3 linked regions of the Coturnix japonica genome follow. The protein of the gene in region 2 purifies or fractionates together with the protein of the main gene of each other region. This does not show direct contact. Links are inferred from orthologs where the notes say so. Each region holds a gene or a part of one and is shown on either strand. Other genes may lie near its edges. The genes, in order: STK38, SMURF1 and SMAD6.

Evidence for each region.
Region 1: the proteins of SMURF1 (region 2) and STK38 purify together in Homo sapiens (affinity purification with western blotting; 3 studies listed by BioGRID, with this or other methods). This does not show direct contact. The link is inferred for Coturnix japonica from reciprocal best matches to the Homo sapiens genes SMURF1 and STK38.
Region 3: the proteins of SMURF1 (region 2) and SMAD6 purify together in Homo sapiens (affinity purification with western blotting; 4 studies listed by BioGRID). This does not show direct contact. The link is inferred for Coturnix japonica from reciprocal best matches to the Homo sapiens genes SMURF1 and SMAD6.

The regions. Positions count from the first base shown.
Region 1 is NC_029541.1:1,920,021-1,923,665, forward strand, and holds part of STK38 (serine/threonine-protein kinase 38), read right to left. Parts: intron 3,349-3,645; coding exon 3,253-3,348; intron 3,025-3,252; coding exon 2,930-3,024; intron 2,730-2,929; coding exon 2,599-2,729; 3' UTR 1-2,598. UniProt on the Homo sapiens protein: Serine/threonine-protein kinase that acts as a negative regulator of MAP3K1/2 signaling. Converts MAP3K2 from its phosphorylated form to its non-phosphorylated form and inhibits autophosphorylation of MAP3K2.
Region 2 is NC_029529.1:4,322,487-4,326,131, forward strand, and holds part of SMURF1 (E3 ubiquitin-protein ligase SMURF1), read right to left. Parts: intron 3,522-3,645; coding exon 3,384-3,521; intron 3,025-3,383; coding exon 2,904-3,024; intron 1,431-2,903; coding exon 1,229-1,430; intron 434-1,228; coding exon 349-433; intron 1-348. UniProt on the Homo sapiens protein: E3 ubiquitin-protein ligase that acts as a negative regulator of BMP signaling pathway. Mediates ubiquitination and degradation of SMAD1 and SMAD5, 2 receptor-regulated SMADs specific for the BMP pathway.
Region 3 is NC_029525.1:16,930,426-16,934,593, forward strand, and holds the start of SMAD6 (mothers against decapentaplegic homolog 6), read left to right. Parts: upstream 1-1,298; 5' UTR 1,299-1,592; coding exon 1,593-2,214; intron 2,215-3,955; coding exon 3,956-4,012; intron 4,013-4,168. UniProt on the Homo sapiens protein: Transforming growth factor-beta superfamily receptors signaling occurs through the Smad family of intracellular mediators. SMAD6 is an inhibitory Smad (i-Smad) that negatively regulates signaling downstream of type I transforming growth factor-beta.

The sequences.
Region 1 (3,645 bases), on a different chromosome or scaffold from region 2:
TTTATGATAGAAAGAGGAAGTGGCAGCACAGTTCAAGTTCAGATGCATTGGAAATTCAGATTAGGATCTTTCCTAGAAGTCCAGCTGGGTAAAAAGAAATGCAGTCAACAAACACAGCCCTGCTTAGCAGCTTGAAAACAGATGTACATGAGCTCAAGCCATAGACCAGCAGCTAATACAAAGGTTTGGCTAATAGAGATGGAACAATGATACAGGTGTGACTGTGATACAAAACCTACCAGCAGAAAGGGATGTCCAAGGCTTTCAGAGGATTCTATGCAGCCCTGTGGCTCCTCCTGAAAGGCACAGAAATGAGGTACCCGACTGTTCCTTAATGCCTTATAAAAGCTTTATCTCAAAACTGAGGTTTCAGACTTTAAAACACAAGTACTAAAAATGTATAACAATTATTATTATAGAGGTTCTCGCAGCAAGTTGTCACAACTTAAGAGTGGTCCAGCTTCTCTTATCTTTGGTATTTATACATAAAATGTCCATCTGTCCCTTTAGTAAAGGGCTAACAATGCCACTACTGCCCCCAAATCCTTTATCCTCATCCCCTGCAGCTTCAAAGGGTTTTGCTTTCTGAAGTGTTAAGGCAGTAACTTAAGCTGTTGGGAATATCTAAGTATTGATACCTCTCACTTTCCTTGTGGTTTATAAGGCAACATTTTCCCAATGGTTCCAAATAAACTGCAGGATGAGGGCAGGACAATCTGATCGTGACTTCAGTTAGCCCTTATTCACAAGTAATTTCTATTGCCTGCAGTGCTTGGATTAAGGCTGTCCTTGCATTTCAGCTTCTCTAGGATCCAACTGGTATCTAAGCTGCTTATGGCAAATAGTTCAACCCCTGGGACGCATCCCAAAAGCACAAGGGGTGGTTGGGGAGAGGATGCAGCAAGTCACCACCCAGTCTTAACTACATACAGACAACTTCCAGTCCCACAGTCAGGCCCTCACAATGGCACTCAGTTCAAAAGACATCAAAGTGAAGAGTCCTTAAAAGCACCTATTAAAACAAATTCACAACAAACCCTATTTTCTTTCGTATCCTAATCTAGAAAGTAAGGACTAAGCGTAACAGAGCCTTCCTATTGCTTTGGAACACTGCTCTATTTTGTTTCTAAATAGCTTTTCTGGCCATGCTATGCCATTAGTGTTCAGCACCAACAAAGGTTTAACAACCCGAAGACAGTTCTAACTGATCAATGCTTTTAGAGACCTCATTACAAACATCTAATTGCAAATTACAAGGCTGGTACCAAGCAAACCCAAAGGGTAACGCTGCCTGTCACTGGAAGTGCAGAGCTAAGTGCAGAACAGGGCCAATATGGAGCTTGTGATTGGTAACAAGACATTACCTAAAACTCAGATGGGGCTGAATCCTCCCTCCCAAAATGCGGGTGTGGGTCCAGAGATGTTCAGACAAGGAAAGGCACTTTGGGGCTCTCCTAGAGAGCAGCCTGATCAGAACTTGTATAAATGACACAAGGCGAGAATGTGAGTTTGGGGTGGTTGGACCCACAGCCTACTGACCCTGCGAGGCACTGTGTCTTTTGGAGACCACAGGGACAAGCTGCTTCTGCTCCAAACCAAGAGCAAAAAGGCCACAGAAGATGCTTTTAACCACCGATGAAGATGCCCGTCTCAAAACAGCCAACAGATGGCAGCAGCATGAAGCCCATGGCCAACCCAGCTGGACCCACACACCCACCACTGCTGTTTTAACCTCCATCTCTCTGCACTAACTCTGGATCCAGCTGTAGTCTTCATTATCCACATTGCTTATAGATGCGTCCTATAAGAACCGAGAACTGGTGGTGCCTGGTGGAAGAAGCTCCCCATTTCTCTTAGCACTGTCTGGAAAAGAAAAAGCGTTGTGCAATTGCTTTTAATTTAGGAAAAGAAAACACTAAATGGCTTTGAGGGGGTCGCTGCTTTAGTACCAAAAGTAAAGTGCTCTGCAACTTGAGGCCACTGCTACGGAGCTGAGAAATGCTGCTGAAGAGGCTTCCAAGTAGCATCGTTTAGGAAAGAAAAAGGATACCCACCACTACAAAGTAAAGTTAAGGCAATACAAGTTGTCTCCTCCTAGATAGCTTGCCTGCCTCGAGCTTTAATTATTGCTTTGTCTCCTCTGTACTGAAGCCCTTTGCAACCAGGAAAACGCTGATAGAACTGGCAGGTTGAGTTTATCACTCAATGCAGGACTGGTGAAGGGCCCATGTGGACATCACACGCTCTGCAATGTCACATGAAGGCCTGCTTCTATCTCCCAAAGGACTGGACAAATCTGGTGAAGAGTTTAGAAAGGAAACTGTGACCCTTGTTGCTCCTGAAGCAGCACTTGCAGCAGTGATGGCATGTGGTCTGTGGGAGTTTGCAATGGTGCAAGAAAGAGCAAATCCTCTGTAACAGCCATAGAGTGTAACAGAACAGCATCCTGAAGTCTCCTCCAAGAGGTAACAGCCCTCGAGTTGTCTTTAAAAAAGTAACTTCATGTTTAAAAAAAAAAAGTTCATTTATGGGTAAAAACCCAAAAAAGTTACAAAAAGAGAAATCCACGGCTCAGAAGCTGTCCCAGGTAAAGCTTAATTACTTCCCTGCTTTCATATAGGATGGTATTGCTCCTCGGGCTGTCAGGCCCTCAAAACGCTTATAGGTGTAATTGATGAAAACCCAGTCCTTGTTCTTGTAGTCCGTCTCCGGGTGGTTGCTTGTTGCCACTGAGAAGACAGTAGGAAAACAAGTCATCGTTTGGAAATGCAGTGTTTCCCCCCAGCACGTACCAAGCACTGCAGGCAGGAGAGGAAGCTTATAAAGACATACAGATTTAAGCACTCTATATCATTATTTGCTCCAAATCAACAGCTGCAGTGGCATGCTTTGTAAACACATGGGACATATACATACACAAAGCATTTACCTGTTGGCTTCAGGATGTCAGACTCTGGAAATTCATCAAAGTTTGAGGTATCGTCGATGCTTTTAATTTCTATTGAAATTGCAGCAGGTCTCTCCCTGCCAAGAAGAACAGATTGAACATTAAGGTTTCAAAAGCAGAAGAAAGCAGAATTCAAACACTTCCCATTACTGAACAGATTCAAGGACCAATGGCACCCAGACCTTAGCAAGCTTCAGATACAGCCCAAAATACTCTCACCCATATCTAAGCATGAAAAATGGCAGCCAAGCTGCTCGGTGATGCTCAGCAGGACTAGCAGCGAGTTCTTCTATAAAGCATCTTACCTTATATGCTCCCAATCAACCCCTTCAAAGAATGGATTACTCTTTATTTCCTCCACACCAGATGCACCAATTCTGTGCTCCCATTCACAGCAAAATCTGGGATGGAAGGAAGAATGAAAATGAAGGGAAAAAATGAAAGCATCCCATCCAGAAATGGAATGGCTTTCCAAACTGACAGCACCGGTTTCACAACATATAAAGAGGCTGAAGATTCCCATTTCAAAGACAACAGCATGAAGTTACACTTAGCAACGTCACATCAAATGCTGCGGGTCAGATGTGGTCCTCCTCCACACAACAAAGAACATATAAAGCCTAAAAGCTACACACTGATATTTTTCATCCTGAAAATGGGTTAGTGCTTGAAAATATCAGGTGTTTACATAAACATGG
Region 2 (3,645 bases):
CATCTAAAAACTACTCTTTCTAATCCTCAATGAAGATTCATTGCTATGAGTAATTTATCAGTGAATACTTTTGCTGAATATGTGGACATTAACATCTCACTATTCAGAATAATTGATCTCAGGGCAGACAAAAACCACAGGTAGAACAGAAGACATAAGCCAAGCATCAAGCAATAAGAACTTCAGTCAACTATTTTGCTGGCTGCAGAGTACAGGTATTTCCAAGCTAGCAGAACATACTTGGATTCATCTAAGCACCTCACACGGGTTAATCCATAGCCAGGACTAAGATGGCTACTTTAAGACAAAGGGAAAGTACACACTGACAAGTGGAACATTTCATCTTACCAAGTGTGGGCTTTTGGAAGGTTGTCTGTGTTTGCATCTATTAAATGGATGGTAAACAGTCTGGGTCCTGCAGCGCCTGTAGAACCTTACAAACAGACATTCTAGTTAATGCACTTCAACAAAATAGCATTAATGCACACGTATTTTGCTATTTATAAAAAGGCAAGAGAAAATCACAGTTCCAGGTGCAGATACAAGTGTGCTATAGCCTGTCTGCAGATCAGATTTGCAGCTGGTGAAGAGATAATAGAAATGATGGGTCTCTTAATGACAACAAACTTGCAGAGCAGTATTTTGGAACGTGGTTAAACTTCACATAGTTATATTGAAAAGTCTCAAAAGTAAGAAGACTTTTCTTGCAAAACAGAACTATGCATTCCAATTCTGAAGATCAGTTTGCTGTCAGCTAACACAAGCAATGCTATTAGAAGAACCACAAGTCTAGGACACTGCTACCTTTTATGACAACCAAAACTGCAACTTTCAGGAAGTTGTTTCAGTCTAATGGTCTGCTGCCAAGCATCAATGGGGATACACTTCTCATGTAAAAGAACTGCTCAGTCTGCTCTATAATCACGTACATGCTCTTATGCAGTGATACTAACAACATCAGTCCACAGAACTGTAAGAGACTGATAAGCCAGTACTGACAGCAGCCTAAGTGCTACGTGAGGACAGATTGTCCAGCTTGCATGACTTGTTAGCAACAGCTAAAGTGGTCACCAGCAGCCACTGATAAACGTAGAACTGCTCTTAGGATGAAAAGCTTGCAAGTGATCGAGTTATCCAGTATTGATATTGCTGATATTCCAGAAGGGCCCAATAAATTCCACACAGTCTTCCTCCCACTGCATGTTAACTCAGCCTCCACATCAGTCACCTTGTAAAGCCTTGAAACCTTGAAGTGGGACACGCGTTGAACCTGTCACAAACTGCAAAAGCCTTGCCCTTCTTTCTTCATCAAATGTTTCCACCGCTTGCCAGAACCACTTCACAATATTGCTATCTGCCATGCAGTGCTTTAGGCGTGTGTTTGACTTCCAGTCATTCAGGTCTATCTTATCCAGGCCTCCTATGATTAGCTGTTAATGGATTAGAAAATGCTTTAACATTCAAAGTCATTTCAGTTTTGCAGCTATGAAAACATACATTGAATTATTTCACAATGCCCAGCATTCTTTATGCACTCGAGCCACCTTCCTGGTACACAGTAACCCTCCAAAACAGTTTAGAACAGGAAGTAAATCTCCCCAGTTAATCTGCAATGAAACTGAAGCCGAGGATTGCACCAGAACTGGAATTTTCAGAAGAAATCAGATTCAAATGCCCATTCAAGACCTGCTTTTTAAATCTACCCCACCTGAAAAGTACAGTGAATCTTTGTGAGGACACAGCACAGACTTGGATGAAGGCATGCCATCCACTGAGTTGACACAGAAATCATTTTCCTGATCTGGCTTTGTCCTAGAGCTGCTAATAACCCACTACAAGAAAGTGCTGCTCAGTTTATGGTTACAGCCTAATTGGTCTATTGTCCATAACTAACCATTAAATACAAAAACTTAGCAGCTGTTTTTTGATGTTGTTTATGAGAGTGTCTGACAAAGACTAGACAGATTACTTCAATCTCTTTTCCAGATGAAACCAGGTTGCAAAATATTGAAAGAGGAAGTCATTATTGGCCATGAATCTAACCAGCTACCCTGGCAACGACAAACAAATGGCATACAGGAGACATCATCACTCAAAACAAAATGTGTGTCATATTCTAAATTTCCCACAATATTCCATATTGAGAATTCCATTCTAAGAGCTGCCATTTAGCAGCTGTCTTTTTGTGACACCAAGATAGTACCCACTTAGACTAACTTACAGTATTAGGGCTGTTGTAACTATCCTAATTTGGAAAGAATTGAAATATTAATTGGATTTACAATCTGCCTTTTTAAACAACTAACTCATGGAACACAGTAACTTCGTGTGAACAACTGGTCTGCACAAACTACTTCCATTAAACTACTTCTTCCAATGCTCCAAATAGTCCACTGCCTTCTTTAAAATAATAAACAAAAATCAGAAAGAAAAACGGTGCAGAACTCTGTACCTCAGGATTAAATGCAAAGATAAACTAATTCATTTTCTATGTGCTCTCTCACTTATACTTTAGCTGCTGTAAACCATGACTTATGTGTCTATAGAAACAGACGTATTAAAATAGTTATTGAAGAAAACAAGTTCTGGGGCACATAACAGGTTAGGTCTTGCCAGCAGCTCTTCAGGCTTGCAATTCTCCCTCTCTCTGCCCAGACCACCTGCTCTGAGCATTAGTGATTGGTTACACAGCACGGTGTATTCATCTCCCCTGTCTGAGCAGTCCTCTCACTAACACTAACCCAAAGCACATCTAGAATAAAACAAAGTTTTCTGTTTAACAAACGCATAACCTTCTAGTATAGAAACTGTAATAAACTGTATTGTTATTTACTTTCAAATCAGTGCTTGAGTTTAGAATGTACAAATTACAAACTAATATTCCAAGAGGTTAAGATGTATACCTCAAGCTCCTTCTGGTCAAAAGGCTTGAGGAGATGTTGGGGAATGAGTTCATTAAAACCTTTCTGCAGAGCCAAGAACTGTGCTTCTATGCCTCTCATAAATCGCCAGTTCACATACAACCTGGGGGAAGGCAAAAAAGGTCAGAGTGATAAGCTGGATAAGAATGGGCTTTTTTGAGCAAGGCTGGAAAAAGTTCATTTTACAGAGGAATTAGTTTTAAAAGACATTTTATGAAAGAAATGATTATTAATTCCTTTTGCTATCGACAGTTAATTATTATACCATCAACAGACAACACAATGTACAACTTACAACTTCTTCTTCCCAGGCTTTACTACATTACATTGCATGAAAACACGTAATTTATGAATCAGGTATTTCCCTCTGAAATACCCATACCATTAGTTACACCATATAAAAAGAAGCAACGTGTTCACTGCCTTCCTTCCACTACATTTGCAGGATATGTTCTGCAATACCTGACATATTCTTTCTTGTTCTCTTCTGTCACTGGAATGTTCCTGCCGTTCGGTTTGAGTTCGTGCTGTAAAATCCTCCCAAAAGCATTGTGTTCCACACAGAAAGTATGGTCCAGAACCGGGGTGATATCGTTCTCTCTAACAAATGAAAGACAGAAGGTAAACGTTGTATTTTTGATCACTTGCAGTGGCAATGCTGACAGCTTGTTATTTGAACACACAGTGTCAGTATAAACCTGGTAAGCATCCATCTGCATTCCAC
Region 3 (4,168 bases), on a different chromosome or scaffold from region 2:
CCCCTGGAGTCCGTTCACATCACGCTGCAACCGTTTGCAACTCTCGGCATCCCTGTGCATCCCGCTGAAACCCCTTGCATCCCTGTGCAACCTTTTGCATCCCATTGCATCCCATTGCAACCCATTGCATCCCTTTGCGTCACACCGCGATCCCCTGCAACCTCTGGCGTCTTTTTGCGTCCCTTTGCATCTCATTGCATCCTTAGATCCCTTTGCATCCCCATTGCAACCCTCCGTATCACTTCGCATCCCTTTGCATCTCATTGCATCCCTTTAAACCCCTTTGCATCCCCATTGCAACCCTCCGTATCACTTCGCATCCCTTTGCATCTCATTGCATCCCTTTAAACCCCTTTGCATCCCTTTGCATCCTCCCGTATCTCTTCGCATCCCTTTAACCCCCCCTCAGCCCTGCAGCCCCACACAGACGGGCACTAGGACCCAGCGCGGCGCCGCCGGGCTCCGTTCATTCACGGGCACGCCGCTCCGCGCGGAGGGGGCGGGGCCAACGCGGCCAACGAGCCAATAGGAAGCGGCGAGAGCGCGCGTCACGCGGCGGCCGACCAATGAGAGCGCTCCGGGCCTGAACTTTTGCCACGGCGGACAAGTTGATACATCGCGGGGGCGTGTCCCGCCGCGGCGTCTCCCGCGGGGGGAGCGGCATTAACCCTTTCGCCGCCGCGGCGCCGCCGTGACCTACTTTCCTCTGGCGGCCGCCGCGGGTAAAGCGTCGTCGGGGAACGCGGCGCCTTTAAGAGCCCGGCAACCCGAGCCGCTGTTTGCGCAACAATCGGTGCCGCGCGGAGCCGCCAAAGTGTCTAGACTGGCACATGATGGGCGGCAGCCAATCGCGCCGCCGCTCGCGAGGGGCCCTGCGTGCGCGCCGCGGACACACAAAAGCTGCGCGAGGGCGGGCGGCGCAGCGCGGCACGGCGGGCCCGGGGCGGGCGCGCGGCGCAGCGCAGAGAGACACAGAGAGAACAGGGAGAGCAGCGGAGTGAGCGGGACACGGCGGAGCGGAGCGGGGCTGAGCGGCGTCTCAACGGGCTTCTCCTCATTCGCCTTGTGATCCTCCTTTCCTCGGCTTCGTTTTGCTGCTCCTGTTGGGTTTTGTGTATTTTTTTTTATTTTATTTTTTAATTCGCCTTTTTCATTTTTTTTCCTTTTTATTTTCTTATTTTTTATTATTATTATTTTTGAGGATTTTTTCCCCCGCTTCTCCTCTTCCATTATTCCATTTTTCCGCCCTCATCGCCGCCTCCTTTTTAATTTTCTCCCCCGTCGTTTTCCCCCCCCCCCCCCCCTCCCGCTTTTCTTTTTCCTTCCCCCGTTTTATGCCCGGGCGCTGCCCCCCGGCCGGCCCCCCCGTCCCCATGGCTCCCTGAGCCCCCCCCTATGCCCCCCGCCTATGCCCTCCCCGCTGGGCGCTCCCCATCCCCTCCGCCGCCGCCTTCCCCCATGGTGCGGCCCCGCCGCGGGCCGGGCGCTGCGGGCGGCTCCGGGGGCGGCGGCTCCGGGGGCGGAGGCGGCGGACGGGCGATGAGGAGATAGAGGCGCGGAGCGGAGCGAGCCCCGGGCCGCCCTCGTATCGTATGTTCAGGTCCAAACGCTCAGGGCTGGTGCGGCGGCTTTGGAGGAGCCGCGTTATCCCGGAGAGGGACGGAGGAGATGGGAACGGCCAAAGCTCGGAGCGGAACGCGACGGCGGTGACGGCCGAGGGACAGCGCATGGCACAGCCCAGCCGGGCGCAGGAGGGCGAGGGCCGCCCGGTGCGCTGCTGCCTGTTCGCGGAGCGGCCCGGCCCGGAGCCGCCTCCTCCTCCTCCACCCCCTCCTCCTCCCGGCGGCGCCTCTCCCCTCGGGCCGGGCGGAGGCGAAGCGCGGTCGCGGTTGGTGCTGCTGGAGCGGGAGCTGAAGGCCGTCACCTACGCGCTGCTGAAGCGGCTCAAGGAGCGCTCCCTGCACAGCCTGCTGCAGGCGGTGGAGTCTCGCGGCGGCACCCCGGGCGGCTGCGTGCTGGTGGCCCGCGGGGAGCTGAGACTGGGGGGCGGCCAGGCGGCCCCCCCGCACCTGCTGCTGGGGAAGCTGTTCCGCTGGCCAGACCTGCAGCACCCCGCCGAGCTCAAGGCCCTGTGCGAGTGTCAGAGCTTCGGGGCGGCCGACGGCCCCACCGTGTGCTGCAATCCGTACCACTTCAGCCGGCTCTGTGGGCCAGGTGAGCGTTGGGGCGGGGGGGGGGGATGGATTCCTGTTCGTTTGGGGGTCGGGAGCGTCGCCACGTGCTTCGTTTAGGGCTGTAGGAAATGGGTTCTCCCTCCCCCCACACCCTGTTTGGGGCCGTGGGGATTGGGTTCCTCAGCCTCTCATCGGGGCTGGGGGAGATGTGGGACCCAGCATTATGGGGCCAGGAGGGTGAGGTTACCGTGTTTGGGCTTTGGGTTCGTGGGGAAGGGGATGTTCCGTTTGGGGCTGGGGGAGATAGAGGGACCTTGTTTTTCTCAGCCCCAAACTGGAGGGACCCCAGATCTGGGGACCTGCGGGAAAGGTCCCCGAGTTTGGGACGGGGTGGGTAAGGAGGGAGGATATTGCCCTGTTTGGGGTTTGGTTTGGGTAACTGGGGGAGATGAGGCTCCCCTGTTTGGGAATGTGGGGAGGAACATGGGGAGAGTTTGGGCCTGGAGGAGATGAGGTTCCCCGCTTTGGGGGCATGGAGAGCGGACCCCTCCGTGTTTGGGGCTGGGGCGGTCAGGGACGGACTCCCCACGTTTGATGTCGGAGATGCGGTCCCTGCAGTTCTGAGGGCTGAGGGGATCCCCAAACTCGGGGTGAAGGAAGCGGAATCCTGGAATCCCCGCTGCTCGGGACGATGCTCGGGGCTCGGCTGCGGTCAGGGAATGCCTTAACGCGAGCTGCGTTCCCAGCGCTACTTTTTCTTCCAGGAGGAAAAAAAAAAGAAAAAATCCTTTGTTTAGTTCTCTTTAATTTTACGTATATTTTTTCCCCTTATTTTTCCCTTCCCTTTTTCTTCCTCTCCCCCTCCCCCCCGGGTTCCCCCGCCATGCGGGGCCGCCCCCCGCCGCCTGCCCGCCGCCGGCGCCAGCCTGGCTCCCGCCTGGCTCCGCTTATCGCGCCCGGGCGGTCCCCGCCGCGCCTTAAAGCCGCAGCGCCCCGGGGCCGTGGGGCCGCAGCTCGGCCTTGCGTGGGGCTCCGCTTTTATGAACTTGTTTTTTTTCTCCCCGATCTGAACGCCCCGAACGACCTTCCTCCGCGTCCCTTCATTTTTTTTCTTTTAATTATTATTTAAAATTCCTTTTCCAACGCGCTGTCCCCTCCTGTCTTTGCATCGTTTGCTTGAAAGAAACTTCTGTGCTCCTGGAGCAGGAGTGTGTCGCTTTGATTTCGGCAGCCACCGAACTTTCCGAGCTGTTTTCCTGCAGCGGTTGTTGTGCGGTGTCCCATGCACAGCTTCTGCTGCATCCACTTTTTGGGGGGGCTGTTGAGCCCTTCAAAGCACCTTGCAGCCCGCAGGGCTCTCAGTGCACGGCCCCGGAGGAGTGCGGTGTTTTTGGGAAGCAGTAGGTGGCTGCAGAGCAGCGCGGGGGGATGCTGAGGTCGTTGTTAGGGCTGTAACTCGGAGCAGTGTGTGTGTGGGGGGGTGTTCTGAGCTGCAGCAGAGCCGCTGTGTGCACAGTGCTGGGGGTTGCACAGTGCTGGGGGTTGCACGGAGCTCAGGTGGTGCATCTCAGCAAGTTGCAGTTGTGGAAATAAAAACACTGGAGGACCTTGACCCGGTGTACAGCCCCGAGTTATGGCTGGCAGCAGCGGCCCTGCAATGCGTGGCAGCACCGCGCTGCTGAGCTGTGCAGTGGGGTGGGACACGGTGGGGGCACCTCGGGGCTCGGAGGGCTTTGCTGGTGGCCCATCCGCAGTGCTAACACACAGCTCTGTTTTCCCAGAGTCTCCGCCACCTCCCTACTCCCGGCTGTCTCCTAACGACGAGCAAAAGCCACTGGGTAAGTGCTGCGCTCCTTCCTGCCCCGCGTGGTCGGGCTGTCGGGGCTGCTCCTTGTTCCTGGGCAGGCGTCAGCTGAGGAGCTTTGTGAAATTAATGAAGGCCGTTTATCACAGCAAATTGCCGTGCCGACGCACGCACATCTTCCAAAATAAGA